3 linked regions of the Caenorhabditis elegans genome follow. The protein of the gene in region 2 purifies or fractionates together with the protein of the main gene of each other region. This does not show direct contact. Each region holds a gene or a part of one and is shown on either strand. Other genes may lie near its edges.

Region 1 (4,319 bases), on a different chromosome or scaffold from region 2:
TTTGTTTTTCAGAAACTTTAGTATCAGCAAAAAAACAGTCAATAAACAGAGAACTCAAACAAAAATAGCTTTAAACTAACTGAAATGAGCACTTTAATGATGGGAATAACGGCCAAACAAAATGCGCACATTGCGAGCGTTCGCATTGTGCCCATCGGCGAGGCATTATGCTCGTTTCTGCGAACGCTTCGCAAAAACGCACATAATGTGAGGTCCTCGTTCGCAAACACGCGCATAATGGGTCTTGAGGCATTATGCGTCCGTGGCGAATCACCTGTGCATTGAGGGGAGTTGAACTTGTCCGTCGCTTGTCGTTGAGTCTATGAACCATTATCTTACCTGTTGAGCCATCCTGTACGTGTCGCATCTAGATTTAGTTATTGCTTAAGTAAATAGTTGATGGGCGCACGTCCTTTTCGTTACTTTTGATGGGAAATCAGTGACTTTTCGCAAATTTTCTAAGTGTCAGAGCGAAATTGGATAACTTTCTTTGAAAGCGAATGTGGAAAAACGATTTATTTGTTATGCTTTTAAAAATGTTAGAATTGCAATTTTTCCGAATTTTTGTCAAAGAGAGAATAACATTTTATTTTTTCAATATTTTATTTCGCTAACAATTTGATTAAAATGATGAGTATACTGGGAACATGCTTGCTGTTGACAATATTTTATGATTTCAATTGAAATCAGAAAATCTCAAACGCATCACGCGTGAATGAATAGTTGTAAGTCTACTTTAATATATTCGACCAATCTTCGTGATTGTTTGACTGAATTTATAATATGACCGGCCAATTATCTAGAAAAAATTACATGAGTGGACAGATTTGTGAATTCTGTGGCTTTCTCTGCAAAAACTCCTTCTACAATATGCAACGAAAAATCAAATATCCGTTAACAGTGAGATACTCCATTATATAGATTTTCATGTAGCTGTTTTTTACTTTGAAAAGTCTTTCATCATTTGGAAGAAAAGAGAATTTAGAACGGAACAGTAATCATAATTGTTGTATATATATCACGATCATGTGAAGCCGATGGGAATTTGGAAATGATGTTTTGTAATCTTTATGGACTGCAAAAAGATTGCAAATTAATCTTAGAATATTACACATTTTTTTGTAATATTTTTAGATTTCAGAAAGATTGCGAACCAATCTCAAAAGATTGCTATGTCATCTCAAAATATTACGAATTTTTCGTAATATTTTCAGATTCAGAAATATTGCGAATCAACCTCAAAATATTGCTCAATCTAAAAAGATTTCGAATAAGTCTCGGAATATTGCGATTTTATCTTGAAATATCACCCAACTACAAAAATATTGCTATTTAATATTTTCATATTAGATTTGAGTTGCCTGAGTTCCAGCAATTTTAGAAAAAAAATTTATTTTTCAACTTCCTCTTGAACTTCGGCTATCAAAATAAAAGTTTTTTCAAGCTTATCTTTTTTTTGGAATTTTATACAGTTTATCAAAAAATAAATGTTTAAAAATTCGCTTGAAAAACTTGATATTCTGATTTTAAACTTAATTTAAATTAAGATGCTTTGAAAATCAAAGCCAATAAGCCAGTTGATAAATGGATATATATTTTAAGAAATAAAAAATTTATTTGCAGAATTTATGAGATCTAGAAAATTAGGCATTCAAACAACGACAAAAAACATTATTTCTAATCCGAAACATTTCCAACAATATACGAAAGAACGCAATCCTCATTGTGAAAATTGAATTCTGCCATTCGATTTGAGATGATATCTGGAAAATTTTTTTTTTGTTAAAAATTATCAAAATATTTCCGATCCTACTCATTTTGGCACGTGTCCGAGTGTTGGCGAAACTTTGAAACAATGGAGAAATATTTCGAATCATTAATTGAACTTTTGCAGTATCCTCTTGACTATCGGTTTCCGATGGATTAGTTTGAAGATCCGAGAAGCTTACATCAATCTCGCCAGTTTCAATTTTCGTAGAAATCCTCAAATCTCCTGATGTACTGGCTGTGAGCTTCTGGATGAAATTAACTTATATTTCAGGACTTTATTTGTGTATATATTATTACCACAACTCGAGTGTTCATATTTTTGAAGACGTGTAAGAAACGGGACATCATTTTAGGAGGTGGCATGCTGATTGACATCTGTAAATATATTTTTTCAATAGAGATTAAAAAAATTAATGTAAAGTTATAATTATCATCATAAAATCGTTTACTTTTCTGTGTCCAATTGACGGCCTGGAGTACGAATTCCAATATTTTGATAGAATAATTGTGATTGGAATTTGATGAGAAACAATATCGGCTTCTGGATTTCTAACTTCGACAGACAACATTGGCTCATCTTTTTGACTTTTCGATAGTTTCAGTTTCAGATAACAGTGTCCGCCGGGCAGAACACGTACTAAACTATCGATTTCCAATTCAAAATAAATCAAATTTTGCTCTTCGTTTCGTGGATTCATGCCAACCATATCGAATTTTCGGAAAATTTGACTGCTATAGGGAATTGATAAACTGAACCAACTTCCACCATCATGGAGTCCTGAACAGCAAATAAAGTTGAGAGCTGAAAGTTCATAGAATTTTATTAATAAAACAGGATTTTTAAAACCATTCTTTTCTATTTTGACGCAGCATCTTTTCTTACTCAATTTGCTCACTGATGTCAAAATTTCTGAAAGACAATTTTTTCAGATATTTCATAGATTTTTTAATAATCAGTCTGCTCACTGATAAACACGTCGATTGCCGCAGTATCTTGGAGAAGAGAACTGAACTTCATTGTTTGAAACCTAGAAAATAGTGAAAATTAGTTAGAAAGAGAAGGAGACGGAGAATGAAAAAGGGAAAATCGCGCGCGATGGAAGAAATTTGAAAAAAGACTTTACTTTTGATATTTTTCGAAATTTTTTAAAATAATTATGTTTAGAGTTAAAATTGCAAGGAAAAATGAAACAAAAATTAGTTTAAAAATAAAAACCACCGTATCTCTTTCCCTGCGAAACCAATTCACCGTATTATTGTATGTGCCTTTAATCTTTAACAGTAAGCATAACATGTGATTTTCGCCTTCTTTTTATTAAAATCTAAATTATTACAGAACTTTTAAATAATTTGATTATATTCTTTGTTTAATTTTTAATCATTTAAATTCAATTTAGAAATGCTAAAAATCCCAAAACAATGAGACACTATTTCCCTGCAGGACCATTTTACAGAAATACTGTATGCACCTTTAATTTCTTTTCAAAAGTAAGCGGCCTTTCTGTCGAATCATTTTTCGTTGATGAACTCTTTTTTCTTCACTTTTACTCTATATTATCACAAAAATTCGAATTTTTCAGCGAAAAAATCGAAAATGAGTGGAGGAAAAGACGAAGCCAGCGACAAAGCGCTCCTAAAAATCCTAAAATCTAAATCACCGAACACAATTGCCATTTTCTCACGAGGCGAATACTTTTCTGTGTATGGCGATGACGCCACCTTTGTCGCTACTAACATTTTCAAGAGTGATGTTTGCGTCAAAACGTTCACTTTATCAAGTAAGACTCGAAAAATCAAAATAAAATCTGTAAATGTGAAATTTCAGCCGACAATTCTCAACAAATGAAGTACATTTCCGTAAATCGTGGACAATACGAGAAGGTCGTTCGTGAAACCATCGTACTGCTCAGATGCTCCGTTGAGCTATACTCGAGTGAACAGGGAGAGTGGAAAATGACGAAGCGTGGATCTCCAGGAAATACTGTGGATTTTGAGCAAGAAATTGGAGTGTCAGATCAGGCTCCGATTCTTGCAATCTATATTCATCCAGGAGATGATGATGTATGACGATTTTTATAGATTTTTAGATTTAGAGATTTATAGATTTTTAGATTTTTAAATTAATTCCCAATTTCAGAATCGAGTAACATTGTGCGCTTGGGATGCTGGAAATGTTCGCATTGTGATCAGTGAATACATCGATACTCCTTCTTTTTCTCAAACGGAACAATGCATTTTTGGACTATGCCCCACAGAATATATTCTAGTGAATGAAGGATCAGTTGCACCGAAGGCTAAGAAAATAGCAAGCATGTTCACGAGAATGGAGGTTCACAACAAGCAACAGCTGAAGCCAAAGTCACAATGGAGCGATGTAATCGAGTCGGTTCATCTGGATTATAAAGATGAAGCCGAAAAACAAAACGAAAACATCAAGGAATGCCTTCAAATTCTACACTCGAACGCAGCCGATGAATACAGTATTTCTGAGAAGTATAGTATTTTCAATTACGGAACTCATGGAAATATGCTGATTGATTCATGTGCTG
Region 2 (9,153 bases):
ATCTCCGACGATAGTCAACCCGAACGAAGGGAACTATCTTTAATTGTCAGTGATGACGTCATGTCGTCAAGAACTCGTCATAGCTGTGAGAATTGAACCATTATAGATTTGGACATTAGTTTAGGTTATATCCAGTACACTAAATGGTACATGATAGACAGTGTACATTTACAGATTTATAGATTGTCTCAGTGACTAGTTACCGGAAGAGGAGAGGAGAACATGTGGCGATGTCTTTTGGATCGATATTATTCCGTCTGAAAATTGTTCACTAGGGGGACTGCCGATTACCACTTCACATGACGGAACATGTTAGTTAAAATATTGGCTTTTATACACATTTTCAAAATAGCACCTGTATTAGAATATTCAAGAAAAACCTATTCCATGTTATTGCTCCACGAGCAGAAATGCGATACACTGTGTTGCATTCGTAAGTGTTTACCATAAATGTTACCTTATTAATATCAAATAGATAAGAAAAAGCATGTAGAAGATATAATCACGTGTGTCAATCGACCTTCTCCACCCATTTTTGATTGTTTAGATGGTTAGGTACCCGCTAAAAAAAGAATAATATAAAAAGGAAAAGACGAACAATTTGATTGATAATTCATTTGATTGTTGAGAAGAACTAGAAGAATGGACAAATCGACCAAAGATTTTATGGATTTGAAGAAGATTGGTGGTGACGATGAAAGGGAGCGACGTTTCAGTGATGGTTTGTTCTTTTTTAAATGAAAACTATATGTTGATTAATTGCTGTATTAACCCTGAGAATTTACCCAGATTTTTGTCAAAAATACAGTGCCCGGTCTCGATACGACAAATGTTTGTGAATGGTGTGTACCTTTGAAGAGTACTGTAGATTGTCAACAAAAGAAAATATGTTTTACAATTAAATTTCAACAAAATAGAAAAATCAATGAAAATTCCGCAGAAACACAAGTTTCTAACTACAATACTCTTTAAAGTCGCACACCTTTTCGAATTGAACAAATGTTTGTCGTTTCGAGACCGGACGCCTTAGTTTGGTGTAAAAATCGTAAGGTTTTGCGTCTCGGTAATATATTTCAGGTAATTTTCCCCTCTAAAGTTATTGATATTATAAAAATTTTCAGCATCTGATACATCAATGGATTGTCACATGGAATCTATCGGAAGTCGTCGCCGTGACAGTTTAATCGAACAATTCCGCGATTTTTTGAACCGATCAATGGATTTTAGTGTCAAGATTGATGATCCATTTGAAAAAGAAATGTATTAAAATTATATCGTTTTCTTGTTGATTTTTGTAATTTTATATGTTGAAATTGTAATTTTTTGTTTCTGTAAATAAATGTACTTATATTGATTCGAAAATTTTAGATTTAACAGTTTTAGTTTCACTTCCGTATTTAGAAACATGGATTTTTGAATCGAGACTTTGGAGAACGATAGAAGCAATAAAATATTATAAAACACAACACACATGGAATATTCGTTTAAACAGAACGAGAGATTCAACAATTAAAGTCAAACAACAATGGCATTATTTTATTGCTAACTAAAAAGAGATAATTGAGAATTGTTATCTTAGATATGAAACGCTAGGATATACTAACACACAGAAACTAAATTTGATGTTTGAAAGCGAAGGAGATTTAGATTTTTCGAGAAATTTTCTTAAAATTTCGCACAAGCTGATTTGGAATACTGGAAGGTTAAGGGAAATATTTGAAGATTGAACGGTTTTAGAAGGAAAATGCATATATAATATTGATGGCGGCTTTACCATCGAGAGCCTCGATCATCTCGATTGCCACGATATGACGAACGGGAATGATGATTGGAAGACGAAGAATTATATTCGGAACGACGAGAAGATCCTTCAGTTGTTTCAGAATTGTTGTTGTAGTTATTTCGACTAACAAATGGAGAATTGAAACGATTCGATGATGAATGTCCCCGTTGGTTTCGTTGATGGAATGAACGATTGCTGTAGTTACGAGGGTTACTGTAGTCATTTCGAGACCATCTTTCATCGTAGTTTCTGTTGGAAGAACGTTCACGTGATGTCGATCTTCTTGAGCTACTGAAATTAGAAATTATATATTGTAATGATGGTTAAAACTGATCTGATTTTGAATTTAACTGCTTAAAAATTAAAACGTTTATAATTTTTTAATGATTTTTTTTCCATATCTTACTATCGTAATAAATATAAATGAAAATTAAATTAAATTAAAGATGGGCTAATTATTTTTAAATTCCCTGGCTGAACAAATGTTTTTCAGTATAAAAAATATTTAATATGAAGATGAGTTTTTCAATTTTTAGGCCAAAATAAATTCACTAAAACTTCAAAACTGACTTAAAAACAGTTTCACCGTTATAAATAATTTTTTCGCGGAAAACGAGCTGAAAACGTTAAACTAGGCAATTCATTAACGCGAGAATTTGAAAATAATTAGCCCATCTTTTTTTAATTTTGCAAAATTGATAGGAAACATCAAAAGTTGTTTTTTTTTAATTTTCAGATATTTCGTAAAAACTCACACATTTTCATTATATTTATTCTCCAAAACGTTTGTCGCACTGAGAATTCGAGTTGGAAGCAGTGATGCAATTGGCGGATTCATTGGATCTGGAGATGTAGCTGGTGGTGGAACAATTGGCTCATATGGTGAGAAGATTGATGGAATTGGAATTGATGGTAGAGTACTGAAAATAATAAAATAATATGGAGTACTGAATCTTTCCAAAAACGGGCAATTTTCAAAAAATTTCAAAAAACTTTCAAAAGGAATTAATATGTAACCTTACGGGAGAAAAATATTAATCTAAACTATTTACGTAAGAAAAAAACATCAAAACGAAATATTCAAAAAGGTTCAATTTCATCAGTTCTTATTTTTAATCATTTCACTCATCTGTTCGATTATCATTTTTCAATAAATCGAACTGTAATAGTGAGTTTATTTTTTTCGTCTATCGTTTCCGTTGAAGAACAATTTCCGCACACTTCCAGGCACGTGTGTAGTAGTTCAAAAATGTGTGTCACAAAGTGTAAGCAGAAGAAGAAAATGAAATCGGCGAAGAAGAATCTATCGACTCCTGGTACTGGTGGAAGTGTTAATCCCGAAATGAAGTCAATTTCACATTCGACAACAGCTCAATCGGGAGAGAAGGGAGCAAGCAAAATGGCAAAAGTTCCGTCCAAGGAGGTAAGAGAGGGATGGAAATATTATTAGAAGGGCGCAGATAAAAGTGGTGTTTGGCGGCGAAACCGTAAATTTAAAAAAAAATTCAGTTAGTTTCGCCAATTCTCAAGAGTTTTCAGGCATTTATTATTGGAAAATGACTTTTTTCAGAAGAGCAAGGGACCAAGGCAAAGTGATCGTGATGCAAAGGATGAACACAACGAGGCGGTGTCTCAACTCAAGAAGATTGCCGAAAAAGCTTCAGAAATGTCACATGGACCATCTGTAGCTCCACCAAGAAAACTGTAAGCACAATAATAACTAATTTCCCAATCATTCTCATTACAGTGACGCGAAACGCACTGTGACCGGAATGAAGGAAAGCAAAGATCCCGAGTATGTGACGCTGGATGACGATTTTCCGAAATTCGAGAAAGCAATACTGAAGGGCAACTCTAAAGAGGTGAGGAGTATTTATTTTTAGACTAATCTAAATATTTTCTTATTTTCCCAGGCTACGGAAACTCGAAAACTTGAGATAACGCAACAATTGTCTGTTGATGAAAAGAAGATTGCAGGAAGCAGCGAGAAAACTACTTAAAAACGAATAAAGCTTAATCTATGCAATTTTTACCTGTTATTTTCCTCTTTCGGTTGCTCTTCCTCTGTTTCTTCTTTAACTGGAATCTCATTTATTTCCATTGTAACATCATTCATAAGCACGTCTTCCACATCAATGATCTCTGGCTTTATTCTGACGATCTGCGACAGTTTTTGAGCAACTTCCGTATTGAATTGATGACATATGTATATGACGTCTTGCGGGAAATCATCGGTTCCACCAGTTTCGGAAACTTCTCCCGTAGCCACCGACGCTGCTTCTTCATGTTCTGAATCAGAATCGGACGACGAAGATCGGTTCGCATTGTATTGAGGAGCACGGCGAGTTTTCTGAAAATGTGTTTTGTAAGAATTGAAAAATTAAATTTCAATTAAAAAAAAATTTGGATGTCACTCTTGGTCGTGATGACTCCCGTAGATAATTTTTCTAAAAACTTACGTTAACGTCTCTCACTCGAACATCTGTGTCAAACGAGCGATCGACAGGAGCGCGGTTAACAGAATCCGACTTCTCCTGAATCTCATAATTACCCAGAAAACTTTAATAATTCAACAAACCCCAACTACAGTCTTATTCTCAATTGCTTCTAATCGAGACCACGGAAAGCATTTATTGATCATCTCGTTTATCATAGCATTTCGACGGCGACGAACTTGTTGAAATGTTGCATTTTTGTACACTGCCATGCTCGCTTTGTGTGTCTGGAATTCTTTGATTTTTTTTGTCAATTTCCTAGCTTTATTATAAATTAAATAAATAAAACTATACATCTTTCATATGAGAACTCAAATCACACTGTCTTCTGAATCCTTTTTCACATTCTCCAACTGGACATGTTAGCGGTGGAAGACTCGTCGTGTGCAGCTTCTCGATATGCTCTCGGCGCATATTTTTTCGAACTTCAGCACCAGTCATGCAAAGTTGACAAGCAAGATCCGAATTTGGGAGATCTGGATACGATCGATCCATCTGAAACTCATTTTTTCTTAATTTAAAAACTGCAACCTAGTTAGGATAAATGTAGATACAGGGTCAAAACTTATAATTTCAGTATGATAATCAATTAATTCAAATTAAAAATTAATATAACAGTGTGGGGGAAATGTTCATTCGATCTGAATATGATATTTATTTTTGAGAAAAAAACTCGAAAATTATCTCAAAAAGTGCAGGAAAGTCACCGTCAGGGCTGTAGATTTTTCGTTTTTTGTTTCGAAAAAAATAAGAATAATTCTTTTTTTTTCCTTCTCGAATTCAGATTTGCCTCAAAATGAAATATCATATTCCTTTTTTAAATTTGTTTTTGTAGATTTGCTGCACAGCCTTGTTCTCAATTTAATTTGTTTTCCTGTACATACCGCAGTTTTCAGCAAATCATCATAATCTTCTGGTGCTACATCAGCTGCCATGTGGGAACGAGTCACGTGTCCTTTTCGGAGAACTGTAAGATAAAAACTAAATTCGAATTTAGAGATTTCAAAAACTCACTAAAATCATAAACTATTTCTTCATTACAAACCGCACATTTCACTTTTGCAGCATCTCGTCTCTCTGGAACATTTGGATCAAACCATCCAATTAGTTTATCAATCGCTGACATTTCATCGTAATTTGCATTTTTTCCAGCTTTCTCTTGATTTTGAGCTGCTGTCATTGACTCGTTTCTTTTCTTCCTCGGTTTCTTTGTTTTATCAATAGATATATTATGTTCACTGGTTGTTGAATCAACTATAGCTTGAGCTGAACTTGATGAAGCTGGCTGAGCTGATGTTGAGGAGGCGTTGGGGCAGAGTGAGCTGAATATATCATTTTTAAAACGAGGGCTTTGTCGGAATCTAGGCATTGTTAAAATTGTATTTAGTGAATAAATACCTCTCAGAATTATTTGTTCTTCTATTTAAAAATGCAAATGGTGAAGTCGTAGAAGTTCCCGATTTTGCCTTTTTTGGCACTGGAGGAGATGTTGGAGTTACGACGGAACTTCTTTTATTCTTTGCACTATCAGTAGGAGTCTTTTTAACAGGTGAAGTCGGTGACACTGATCTCGGATCTCTTCCCCATCGCTTCTCAAGCACAGTTTCCATATCGTCAGTCGCTAGGGCGTATGCGTCTTCCACAACAACCGATATCATTTTGTCAATGTATGGGTTTACTGTCTTCTGAAGAAAAAAAACAATATTTTTAATTGTAGAAAATCGTCTCAAAACCTGAAAAGAGCGCTTGTGTCCGTGTTTCGAGCAATGAGCATTGAGCTCCTGTTGTGTGTAGAATCCCATATCACATGTGCTCTCTCCGCATGCATATCTCCTAAAATTATATATGAATTTAATAATAGAAATAACATTTAAAATCCTCACTTGTACTTAAAATGTTTGTAGAAGTGTGCGCCTTCCTCTTTCAGCGTTTCGCAGCACAATGGACACACTAATTGGTTCATATCTTAAAAATACGATTTCATAATTTAATCTCTGGCTGTGATTCAGATGATTGATCGGAAAAAGCGTATTAACTTGAATGATATGATTTGAATGATATTATCCAGCTTGAATGAGTAAAATTTATGTCTTCAGGAGTTTTTTCTCCATGTGGATCCACAAAGAAGACAAAATTAAATACCTTGTATGCTCACATTTTAAAAAAAGTAACAACTTTAGAAAAGTATTACCAGAGCCTTACCAATTGTGTTCTTGCCCATGGAAACTGATTAGAAAAACGAATGCGGGATAAAAATTAAGCCGTCAGAATTCACAAGTTCACTGCAAGAAGATGGGTGTGATATCACTTTACTCAATAAATATTTAAAGTGGAAACAATAAATGAAACTCTGTGACTGAGATACGTGAAGCGTTCACAAACTGGAAGAGGAATAATCGGGATAGAGAAAAATGAATAAAGAATTAAATTAGAGAAATTCAAATTGTATTTTTAATGAAACAATTGGGACTTGAGGAGTTGCTTAAGCTCTCGTTCCGTTCTTTCCTTCCTCCTCTTCGTTGTCTTCGAGATCTGGCATATCTGAAAATTTTTTATAATAAATAACATTTTAATACTACATTGGTTTTCTATCATTAACGAATTACTAATAGTAAGCAAAAAGGATATTATTGCACTTAATACTTACCGTCATCTTCCTCATCATCCTCAAGACCTCCGAAGTCTGCTCCGCCAGCTCCTCCCATCTGGGACATGTACTGGTTCAAATCGAATCCGTTCGCCATTCCACCGCCAATTCCGGCTCCGGCATCCTCAGCCTCATCATCCTCGTCTTCATCCTTCCATTTTCCAAAGTCAACCTTCAACCAATGGACCTTTCCCTTGTTTTGAAGAAGTCTTGGCCACCAGGCTGGGGTCTTCTTCTGAACTGTGATCTCAACGACGCGGGTTGAAGATCCAGTGTGCTTTACGGATGCAGGATCGATTTCGTCGAAGAATTCGAGAGTTGCTTCGTACTTGTCAGTTTTGCTGCTTCCTCTGAAAATTTACGAATTACGACTCATTCTATGTACCATCATGAACATTCTGTGAATATTTAGGAAGCAAGAAATATGCTTCATATCGTATTTAAACATTTAAAATAGAAATCGAAATATTAATCCGAAACGTACTGGAAGTGAAGCTTGTTTCCCTCTCCTTTCAGTTCCTCGATTTTCGCCTCATCAACCTCGATGGTCAGATAGACAAGTGATTCACGCTGGGCCCAGAGAACTGTTGGTTGCTTAGCCATGGTTTTTGCCTGTAATTCGAAAAGAGAACTAGACGGATACGAACAATAATCAATAAAATTCAAGGAAGGTGCACGACATATAAATAAGCGCACAGTTGAAATTAGCATGATTATGCAAATTGACGAAAATAAAGCCATCAGATGAAAATGTTTTCATATCACGGCAATAACAAGCAAGAATTGTCCACTTAATTTCTTTTTTCGATTGATTTTTCTCTTACAACCTTTTTCTCCTAAATACAAGGACTATTGGCCAAAATCGATATATTTTAAGTGCGAATGGCATTGAATATAAACGTAAATGGATTAGAAATATAAAGTCGCGAATGTTCTTCAGGAAAATTGCCATGGAAACGCATAATGAAGATGATAAAACGGCAGAAATTCAAATAATTCGAGAGAGTTCCCAAATCGCGGCGAGACCCAGTGGTGAAAGTGCGCGCGCCTTTGAACGAACACGTCTCCATTTACGAGGTTTTGGCTCATTTCAGCTTAATTTTAAATCGTTCAATGAACATTTTTTGATGGAAATATGGAAGCAATGGATTTTCTGAAGAAAAATTTGAATCGTGTTGACTTCCACAGCGTATAGTTGTTAATTTATTGTTTTATGCGTCTAAAATTGTTCAGAAACAAAAATGCAGTGTTCTATTTTCAGATGGTCAGCTTCTCATGGGTATCAAGGTCGTTACACCATCCTCAAGGGAAACGAGGACTAATTTCCACATTAATATGCCTGGCGTGTGTTGGAATTTTGGCATATTGCGTATCAACGAGCCACTCGATAGGTAATTGTTGTATTTGAGTGCAAAAATAATAGTTTTTTGTTCAGTTCTAATGTCAACTCTTTGGATTACGATTTTTTCGTTTTGCTCCCAATTCGCGTCTCTGTATTCCATGTCGATAACCGAAAAACCAACGCATAAATTTAGTTACGGATTAGCCAGAGTACCGGTTTTGGCAGTCTTTAGTACTACCGTGAGTTTTTGAAACACTAAATATTAAAAATGTATTCCAATTGGAATCAGTATTTTTGAGATTAAAAATAACCTTCTTCAGGTGTTGGCTCAACTATTTTCCATCTTTTTATCGAAGGAATCATTCGAGCACTTGTTATCCCCTGATCACCATGGTTCTCATGATGCTTCAGCGGCTCACGAACATGAAGTAGAAGAAATCGGCGGCTGGCCATATTTTGTTGGTTCTGCTGCATCTTCAGTGGCGCTGCTTCTCTCAGCATACGCTCTTAAAAATCAACCGTTTCAACATGTTCTTCAATCAGCAACGGCTTCAAGTTTGCAAGAGCATGCAGCTGATTTGTCCCATGCTGTGTGCTGGGTTATTCCTGGCCTTTCGCGTCTTCTTCTGCCAAGAATCAATTCAATGGTATTGTTAGCCTTGACGACTACTGGACTGAACTTGTTATGTGAACATTTCAAGTGAGTTTAGCTATCATACACCTCATTTGAAACATAATTTTGGCCTATAAATTACCGTTTTACGGCTATGACCTTCAATAAATCAGACAATTAAAAAAATTATATAAAATTTCTCATTTCTAGGCACGACTTCGCATGGGCTGATCCAGTATGCTGTCTGCTGCTCTCTGTTGCTGTGTTCTCAAC
Region 3 (8,738 bases), on a different chromosome or scaffold from region 2:
CCACGTATTGCTCCTCTTCTTTTTTTTTAAATTTATCTCTGCAAACGTGCTCAATTGTTAATTTTCGATGGAGCCCGTATGCATAAAGACAAAAATCCAAAAAATTTTGATATTTTCATGTTCTGAAGAAAAAAACATAAAATGCGGGTATTCTTCTCTCATTTTTTATTTGTTTTTATTTTTCCTATATTTATTTTATTTTTCATTCTTTCATTTTTGTCTCTCTCTCTTGTGATTTCTCCCTGTATTTTTCCCCCTAGTCTTCTCACTGATTCGGTAGTTTTTTCTCTCAAAAATGTTCCCATTTCGCCACCCCGGTCTAATTATTATAATTGATTATTTGTTCTTTAAAACAAATATGTATAAATAAATCGATTCATTGGAGAACAAATGCATCCATTTAAATGGAAAAAAATATGGTATCAGGAAAGCCGCATGGCCTAGATTCTTACAATTTCTAGGCCACTTGTGCATTTTCACGGCTGTGGAAAAACATCGGATGAAATGGATGGAAAACTAGAAACACGATTTGGGGGCTCGATTTGAAAATTAAAACATATTGAACAAAAATCACGGAGAGAAATGTGAGATATTTGATTGGGTCGGTTGAAGTTCCGAACATTAAATTAAAGCCAAATTAACTCAAAAAAAAAACAAAAGAATGAGATTAAGCAGTATGATTGGAAATCAATCAATTCTGACGATACTGCTGCTGCGGGTATTGTGGAGGATAATATGCAAATGCACCACCTGAAACTTTGAATATTGAAAATCTAATTTTTAAATAAAAATCTAAAATTAGTGGATTGTGTTTTTCAATTGTATTTAAAAGATTGCATACAGGATACTCAGCTTCATTTAACAAAAACATTACCGTCACAAAATTCTAGTTAAAGTTCATCGAATCAGCCGTATAATGCAGACAAATATAACTTACTAGACTAAAGCACAAGCAGGATTCTGTTAAAAATTGTAAATCGTGGATATGGGTAAAAGATGCACATAAATCAAATGAACTAGACGGCACAAAAAATACAATTCATGCATTAATTCCGTGAGCCACGTGGATTGCGCATAGTGACTCCTGAGTGATCGATCATCAGGTGTCCATTTACCAAAAGTCGAGATGCATTTGCTTGTATTTCAGCCATGGAAAGAATTCGTGGTGGTTGGATGTTATTGGTGTCACCTGAAAGTGAGGCCAAACCAAGTAAGGGAAATAAATATATATTTGCATGCAGGATGGTTGCAATTACACAACAAGTTTACTCGCTATTAACTGAAGATCGTGAAGTGATTGTTTTGATGTTTAAACATAATATACAAAAACTTTGTAAGGTGTACAAAAAATTACCGTTTGACATTTGCTGTTGAGCATAAAAAGACGGAGACATGATTTGTGGTGACTGCTGCTGCTGTTGTTGCTGCTGAAGATGGTGCTGCTGCATATGAACCATTTGATTGTTTCGCCCTATGAGCCCGTTTTGCATTTGGAAGTGTGGTGCCTGGTTTATCATTGGCTGAAAACGAGAGTTCAATTTTTAAAAAATTTTGAAAAATATTTGTTAAGTTTATAATTCCAGACGTAAAACTAGTGCATTTTTTTCAATTCGACAGAATTCTAGTGCAGTGGACAATCATCTAAGTATCTTATCCAATTAATAGGGGCTTGAACAAAGAAAAAAAAGAGATTAAAACAGGATTTTTTTGTTCTGTCGTTATGAAAAAATATCACTAGAGTATTAGTGCGTGTGGTAGACTATTAACACGTGCTGGCATACCGAATATCCGTATTGTGATGTAGGTGTTTGAGATCCTGAAGAGGGATTCATATAAGATGATTGAGCAAAATTCAATGGATGTGTCGTATGGTGAAGTTGAACAAGCGGAGATGATTGTGTTGATGAATTTGCTGACTGCTGCAACAAACAGACAGTTTAGTGAGTGTGGACAGGGAGAAGCAGATGTTAGTTTAACAATATCATATAATAATATAATCAAATATATAATTCAATCTTTGTATTAGTTTTGGTTAAAAACGGATAAGTTATAACTAGAATACTGATTTCAGTCAAATTAAGAACAAATCCTCTTAAAACTATGGAAAATAACTAACAATATTGGCTCTTTTGAAGATTTGTGTTTTTCTGAACTTACTTCTCCTATTTTGTTCAGCGCATCCCGGATAGTTTTACTTGCACCCTCGTTCATTCCCATTTGCGTTGAGGCCATTCCAGATGGAGATGAGCCAACTGGCATTTGATTCTGTTGAGACATCTGACGCATTGGAAGATTTGCACTTGCAGCTACTGGACGAGGTGGTGTATCATCGAGAGTAATAATCTCTATGTCATCGTCTTTCGTCTTCTTTTTCTGCTGTGGTGGTGTCTTTTGAGCAGCCAATTCTGCGGAAGCTGAAATAAGATTTGAATTTCAAGTGAATACTTTTAATTGATATTGCTAGAAACTGCAATATTCTCAGCTTGTCTCACACCACGCCATTTGAATAGCAAACCTGTGTGTCTGCCAGGAGAGAAGCTGTCGTTCAGAGAGTTCATTATACCTCTGTTCAATTCCTCATCATCGTCATCACTCAAGGTAATTATGTCGTCGTCAGCTGGTTTTTTCTTCGCTGCTTCATTTGCAAGTCCATTGCCATTTGTCGAAGAGCATGACGCTGTACCGTTAACAGTAGCAGGTACAACGTCATCGTCGTCATCATCTGAGATGCAAAAAGCTTCTTCCTTGATAACATCGTACGAGCCATCTTCCTTAAGTTCAACTTCCGTCGTATTCTTATCCACCTTTGCAAGCATATCGAGGAAATAACTGAAAGATGAAACAATATTTGCATAGTCTCAGAACATTGCTTTTTATTTTGATATTTGAATATTTCTTAAATAAAATGTTGAATTGGGTAACGTCTAAGCAGTTTCTCAGGCATTTCCGTGACTAAAAAGTATTTTCCAATTAAGAAAACGAGCGAATAGTGCGAACAGACAGCTTCACACAAAACTGCATGAAGTTAGCCATCGAATTTGTTGTTTGTCCATGATGCACTGTTCACAATATGAATCTGGATCATGGTAAACATAAGAGTGAGAACACTATTTGGATTATTAATTGATTGAGAATTATTTACAGGGATTTTGAATTTCTGAATAATAATAATTTTCAATTACACATTAAAACTCTTGCTCAATTATGATGATTGACCTTTGCCATTTGTTTCATGTTCTCTTACGTCATGAGCTGAATTTTGAGTTGGAGACCAATACGAACTACTGATAATAATCGTAGACTATATTTGCAAATACATGCCTATTTTAGACGACGCGTTTCCGAATTTCCTAATCACCGTTTCATCATGGCTATTTTAAGGGTGTTGTCCATCGCTATAGATAACAATTGTGTTTGGAAAAATAATAGTGTCTTCACAAGAATTGGAAATTTCGAAGTGAGGGAACGGTATCTAAGAGTTAATAGAAAAATAATGAAAACATAGAATTGAGATAATTCGCTTTTTTTTAAAATCAAAGTTAGTCAGTGTGAATTGAAAACTTACTCATCAACAATAAGTCTATCATATGGGCAGTTACTCGAGCAAACAGGGCACTGCCACGTTGGTTTCTTCTCGTTCATCATCAAATATGAGAGGAGATCAAAACATTGCAAATGGGTACAATCTTGGCATCTAGAAGGCGTTGTCATTCTTGTCTTGCACAGTGGATCAAGAAGACTGATATTAAGACGATCCATAGCAATATCATCTTCACCTCCAGACAGTTTCTTGATCACTTCTTGCTTGGTAACCTCAAGTGATCGATGTCTTGATACATTCTGATTAAGACGTTTAAAGAGAATATCCGAGTTAACACGATGAACGAAATAAACTCCAGCTGCCCATACACGTTTGTCGGCTAACCATTCGACTGCAACTGTGTGCTCTTTCTTGTATCTATTCATGTTTGAAGTGATATTCACTGGACGAGATGGTCGTTTCGGCTCAGCATTTGTCTTATTTGTTGGGATTACATTCTGAAATTTGAAGAAATAGTAACTCCTAACAATAATTGATATTTTGAAATTAAATATATTTCGTGAACGTTTCAAATCTCATACCGGCAATTGAACGACAGAATCATCAACACGTGCGTAGCAATTGAGTGGAAAGTCGTCTTTTTGAGGACCCTGAACTGGTTCAGTAAGATTGAAGAACCTGAAAACAAGGATTTAAACCGATTTCAATGATAATAAAACGTACCTCAACTGCAATTCATATCGTGGAAGAGGTGTAACATCAGCTCGATACGAAATCTTGGAGATGTGCTCAGCAGTCAATAAGAACGGGAATTGTAACTGAAATTAGTAATTAATAGGTAACCGGCTTGGAGAGCGAGTAAATTGAGACCAACCTGTTTTGTTTGCTTCAAAGTTGGACTGTCTGATGAATGCAGCTCGACAGGCTTCAGCAAAACAGAAATAACATCGTAGAATGGAAGTGGAAGCGGTTCAAAATTATCAGCATACATTTTTTTCGGCTGAAAAAAAAATACATGGGTTAGACATGTGGGAATGTAAGAAAGAGACGCTGAAAGCAATTTTCAGGTGATAACATTGAACTCGTGTGAGCGAACTGTATAACACATGCCGCGCAATTTCTAATGATGCCTGCTTTTTGGTAGTAAAAAAACACTTTTACATGCTACTACGAACTAATTGGAAATAAAACTATTTGAAAATTGAGCACGGCAATATGAAGAAATGCCTAGAGAGGATTATCATATTAAGCTTTTCTTCATGAACATGCTCCTAAGAATGCCATACTGTAATATCTTAAAACCACACTTGTTCTAGTTTTTACGCCATTCGGAATCATGCAGAAAATTTCGTGATAACAGCGTGCAAATCTTGGAGCTTCGAATTTTTCTTTCTTTTTTTTGAATGCTACACGCAATTCAAAAAAGTGCATTCAATAAACGGTAGGACATTTGTTTGCATAATGTATCACGATTGAGGAATTTTCAAATAACCGCGACTGGCCAATATGATATATGTGCCCAGAAGAAGCTACCAGTGTAATTTTTTCAGGTAAATTTTCCGTTACGGTCATAAACCGAAAGTATATCTTCACATGCTTTCCGCCTCGATATTCTTGCGTTCATTCTTATCGTGAATTTCAGGCAATAAAAATGCGGCGAAAATGTTCACCCTATTTGATTTTTCCGACTTCTGCAAACTTTGCTGAGAAGAACGTCCATGATTAGGAAAAGATGAATGGAGCGGCGCGTTGGTAGCAGCAGCAGCAGCGGGAGCGCCGTATCTCATCGAGCCCCTCAGTTGCTCTTCGAGCAGTTCAGGAGTTAGCCATCTCACCGTCGACGGATGGTGCTGCTGTTGCAGATGTGAATGATGTGACGCCATCATTTGTTGATGAAGTAGATTGTGAGGCTGTGGTTGTTGTTGTTGTTGCTGCTGATAATGATGATTGACCAAGTGATTACTAGCTCCAGATCGAGATGGCAGCACATATGGATGAGACCGAACTTGGGATGTTGTTGCAGGTCGCTTCTGCATCTGACATTTTTTAATTTAGTTATTAAAACAGAAACGATTTACAAACAATTTTTTAGGCTCTAACTTTAAATATGTGGAATATTTTAGACAATTAGAACATTTGCAAAAATACATTTGGGAATAAAAAACAAAGCGGAAGAGATTTTTTGAACGTTTGTTTCTCAATAGAGCGCACATGTCATCAGGAGAGGTGCTTGCGAAGAAATGATATATATTGATAAACCTAGCCGTTTTTTTGGAGTTTTGATAACAGGACTTTCTTAAAATTTAGTAAAATTTCAATAATAAGCCAACTAAAAATTCGATTGATTTAAATAGTTACGCGCATTCGAATCAACTGTTGTGAAATAACAACAAAAAAAAAAACGATTCCCAGTTTCTCACGAGCGACATCGTGCCAATTCGCTTCCATATCGATTTTTCAAAGTGAAACAATTATTAAAAAACTCAAATACCTCTTTAGGAGTGAAAATTTGAATTTGATTTTCAAAAAAGTGTGACAGTATTCAAAAGAATCAATCTAGTAAAATAAAAATTGTAATGAAAAACTACGCGCCAAGCTACACGTATGAAACATGGAAAGAAGGTCAGGGCAAAGTACAACTAAGAAATTTTCGAAGATCCACTGCTTTTGAGGTTTTTAACACCTTATTACGGGCGAAAGTCCCGTTGCCGGAGCTGCGAGGAAGCAAGTGCAGAATGGATGAAATATTTGAGGAAACTTAGAGAAACAAAGGGCTACATATATGGTGGGTATGAGGATGCTAGTGGAGATAAATGCGAGACTTATTGTGTGAGTAAAGAGACAATACTAGGTGAATGAATAATTTCCTCCGAGGTAGAACACTGGTAAACGTTACCCAAAGTACCTCACACATCTATTTAATCAAAGTTGACATAGTTTTTTTTTAACTGAAAGTATTTAACTTTTTCATACTTACCTCATAATTTCCGTTCGGGAAATTGGAAGCCTGTAAACTCGAGAAAATTAATGCTGTAAAACATCATTTAAAAAAAAACATAAATAAAATAACGAGAAAAACAAATGACCATTTGATAAATTTGCCGAGCATGATGAGGATCACGCAAGGATTCAACGACGACCTTCTGATGCTCCGATTTTTGTGGACGTGGCTTTCGAAGTGACAATTGCGAGATAATCGACTGAAATTCATAAATTCTTGATTCACATCGCCTTCTCGTTGAGGTATTGAACAATAAAGATTGATTAAAAACGGTATCTAACCTGAAGATCGTGTACTCTCAATTTCATGACGGCTGCCTGAAAATTTGGAATCCATCAGTTTTACTTTTTGAAAAATAACAGATTGGAACAGAAAAATCCTTGGGTAAAATACAAGAATTTTAAACTATTTAATAAATGTCAATAATTTTCCAATAACTCACGTGTGCTGCCATATTTTCCTGATGTGTTAATCCATTGTTTATAGGTATTTGCCATTGATTATTCGGTAACATATTGATTTCAATACCTCCGATCCTCCGCTGTGTCTCGAAACGACGGAAAAATATAAAACTGCAGATTCGGAAAAGGGATATTAAGGCGAATTTGAATGGTCCAGTAGTGAAAATATCACAAACAAAAAGTAGAAAAATGTGATCTTTTCTATTCCCTAAAAAGCGTTTCGAAAAGCGCGGTTCCGTGTGGATTTCCCAATTTTGGAAGTTAATGGACCAAAATCGCGCAAAAAACACGGGCACACCTGATGAATCAGTTTTGCAAAATCCTGCAAAAAATATTTCAACGTACTCACGTTAACTCATTCAGGAAATCAATGAGATCAATGTGTACGATAGGTTTGTGCCCGTGACAAAGGATCAGCAATTTTCAGAAGAGGCGCCAGAAAATTTGTGTTTTTGAATTTGCGCAATACAATTTTCAATCCACACAGACTTTTTTTGTATTATTTTCAATCCAAAAACCAAATCCAAAAAAAAAAACTTGGCGGCGCTATAAAGTGCGTCGTGATCTCCTTTCAAATCACTATATAAAAATTCACAGACTTTGTGAAAATATGAATAAATAAATAAAAAGAGAACCACAAAGGGTCGGCGTTGTTAACCGTTCCAAAGAAAATGAGAGAAAAAAATAGAACTTTAAAAAAATGTTATCGACTTTTTTTCAACCAAAAAAAACATGAGGTAAAAATAGACACTATTCGAAAAAAAAAGTAAACCGCAGAAAAAAACGAACGAAACTATCGATATCAGATCTAGAAAAAAGAAAATGGAGAAAAGGTGGAGAAACACAAAAAATGAATGAAGTGGGGCTTACTCGTACAAAATGACCATTTTTCTGCGAATTTTTTCACAGTTCTCCAACTTTCTCGTACTTTCTTTTCGCCTCGTGTTCTGTTTAGCGTCTGTACCAAAGTTGAGCTTCTCGCTTACGCTTGATCTTCTTTTGAAGTTGGAGAACTCCGTATAGAAGAGCCTGGAATAATTTTTTATATTAAAATTATTTTCTTTATTAGACGAAACATATTTTCAGAAAAGACTGCAGGCTAGGAATATTTTTAAAGCTATTCAGATAATTTCACTAATTTAAAATGTATTAGAAATTCGCTGATACAGTCAGAATGTGATAAAGTATTTCGAAGAGCTAAAGATTTAAACAAAACACCAAGTTGTTGTTGCATTAGATACGGCAAAATATTCATTAGTGAATGCTTGAGAAACTAAGCAGAAATAGAGAAATAAAGACTCAATGGTATGCAAGAGAGCGTAGACAACACAAGACTTTCGCGCCAATTCGATCAATAATTGAGTACACATGCACCCACGTATTTTCGAAATATTTACAATCGGTCGTGGAGCGCGATTACATCATGCCGTCCTTAGCCCACCATTCTTAAATTGGGAAATTTTTTTCAAAAATCTTTTTCGGAAAAACCCGAAAAAAACAGTTTTGATAATGATGGGGTGTCGAGATTATAGTGAGGTACATATTATGACGTCATAGAATTATTAAAATTCATTTTTGAACATAGCAACACGCTTTTCTTGGAATATTTTCAGACATTAACTGAAACAAATTGTTACTCAATTAATGGAAAATGAGCCTGCACGAGATCTGGACACTCATTATCCTTAATTGAGCAGTCAGATTTTGAGTGCGTTTTTTGTGTAACAGGTGGACC

Evidence for each region. The genes of interacting proteins can lie anywhere in the genome.
Region 1: the proteins of ztf-8 (region 2) and hus-1 purify together in Caenorhabditis elegans (affinity purification with mass spectrometry, with the first as the bait; one study listed by BioGRID). This does not show direct contact.
Region 3: the proteins of ztf-8 (region 2) and gei-17 purify together in Caenorhabditis elegans (affinity purification with mass spectrometry, with the first as the bait; one study listed by BioGRID). This does not show direct contact.

Annotation. Positions count from the first base shown.
Region 1 is NC_003279.8:3,696,581-3,700,899, reverse strand, and holds hus-1 (Checkpoint protein), read right to left. Parts: upstream 2,799-4,319; 5' UTR 2,789-2,798; coding exon 2,737-2,788; intron 2,681-2,736; coding exon 2,618-2,680; intron 2,573-2,617; coding exon 2,220-2,572; intron 2,146-2,219; coding exon 2,068-2,145; intron 2,016-2,067; coding exon 1,814-2,015; intron 1,764-1,813; coding exon 1,678-1,763; 3' UTR 1,600-1,677; downstream 1-1,599. Other genes in the region: msh-2 (DNA mismatch repair proteins mutS family domain-containing protein), read left to right, coding at 3,365-3,548, 3,596-3,831, 3,908-4,319.
Region 2 is NC_003281.10:5,267,229-5,276,381, forward strand, and holds ztf-8 (C2H2-type domain-containing protein), read right to left. Parts: upstream 6,244-9,153; 5' UTR 6,242-6,243; coding exon 6,162-6,241; intron 6,112-6,161; coding exon 6,012-6,111; intron 5,964-6,011; coding exon 5,677-5,963; intron 5,601-5,676; coding exon 5,293-5,600; intron 5,246-5,292; coding exon 5,163-5,245; intron 4,774-5,162; coding exon 4,573-4,773; intron 4,506-4,572; coding exon 4,362-4,505; intron 4,318-4,361; coding exon 4,243-4,317; intron 4,134-4,242; coding exon 3,817-4,133; intron 3,808-3,816; exon of another isoform or gene 3,784-3,807; coding exon of another isoform or gene 3,697-3,783; intron 3,646-3,696; coding exon of another isoform or gene 3,531-3,645; intron 3,488-3,530; coding exon of another isoform or gene 3,354-3,487; intron 3,207-3,353; coding exon of another isoform or gene 3,033-3,206; exon of another isoform or gene 3,011-3,032; intron 2,952-3,010; exon of another isoform or gene 2,898-2,951; intron 2,704-2,897; coding exon 2,539-2,703; intron 2,075-2,538; coding exon 1,771-2,074; 3' UTR 1,527-1,770; downstream 1-1,526. Other genes in the region: ZC395.5 (Ovule protein), read left to right, coding at 643-721, 1,122-1,267; ZC395.4 (uncharacterized protein), read left to right, coding at 3,033-3,206, 3,354-3,487, 3,531-3,645, 3,697-3,783; Co-chaperone protein daf-41, read right to left, coding at 6,761-6,819, 6,926-7,275, 7,410-7,528; toc-1 (similar to Transporter Of divalent Cations), read left to right, coding at 8,061-8,114, 8,187-8,316, 8,361-8,506, 8,588-8,967, 9,091-9,153.
Region 3 is NC_003279.8:9,100,484-9,109,221, forward strand, and holds gei-17 (E3 SUMO-protein ligase gei-17), read right to left. Parts: upstream 7,100-8,738; 5' UTR 7,057-7,099; coding exon 6,985-7,056; intron 6,860-6,984; coding exon 6,824-6,859; intron 6,742-6,823; coding exon 6,628-6,741; intron 6,549-6,627; coding exon 6,519-6,548; exon of another isoform or gene 6,505-6,518; intron 6,215-6,504; exon of another isoform or gene 6,117-6,214; intron 5,837-6,116; exon of another isoform or gene 5,624-5,836; intron 5,578-5,623; coding exon 5,212-5,577; intron 4,542-5,211; coding exon 4,416-4,541; intron 4,360-4,415; coding exon 4,265-4,359; intron 4,220-4,264; coding exon 4,123-4,219; intron 4,039-4,122; coding exon 3,566-4,038; intron 2,830-3,565; coding exon 2,516-2,829; intron 2,415-2,515; coding exon 2,158-2,414; intron 1,920-2,157; coding exon 1,782-1,919; intron 1,521-1,781; coding exon 1,355-1,520; intron 1,190-1,354; coding exon of another isoform or gene 1,047-1,189; exon of another isoform or gene 840-1,046; intron 751-839; coding exon 692-750; 3' UTR 363-691; downstream 1-362. Other genes in the region: nduf-7 (putative NADH dehydrogenase [ubiquinone] iron-sulfur protein 7, mitochondrial), read right to left, coding at 7,955-8,032. UniProt on the Caenorhabditis elegans protein: Functions as an E3-type smo-1 ligase. Mediates smo-1 conjugation to air-2 in vitro and is required for proper chromosome alignment.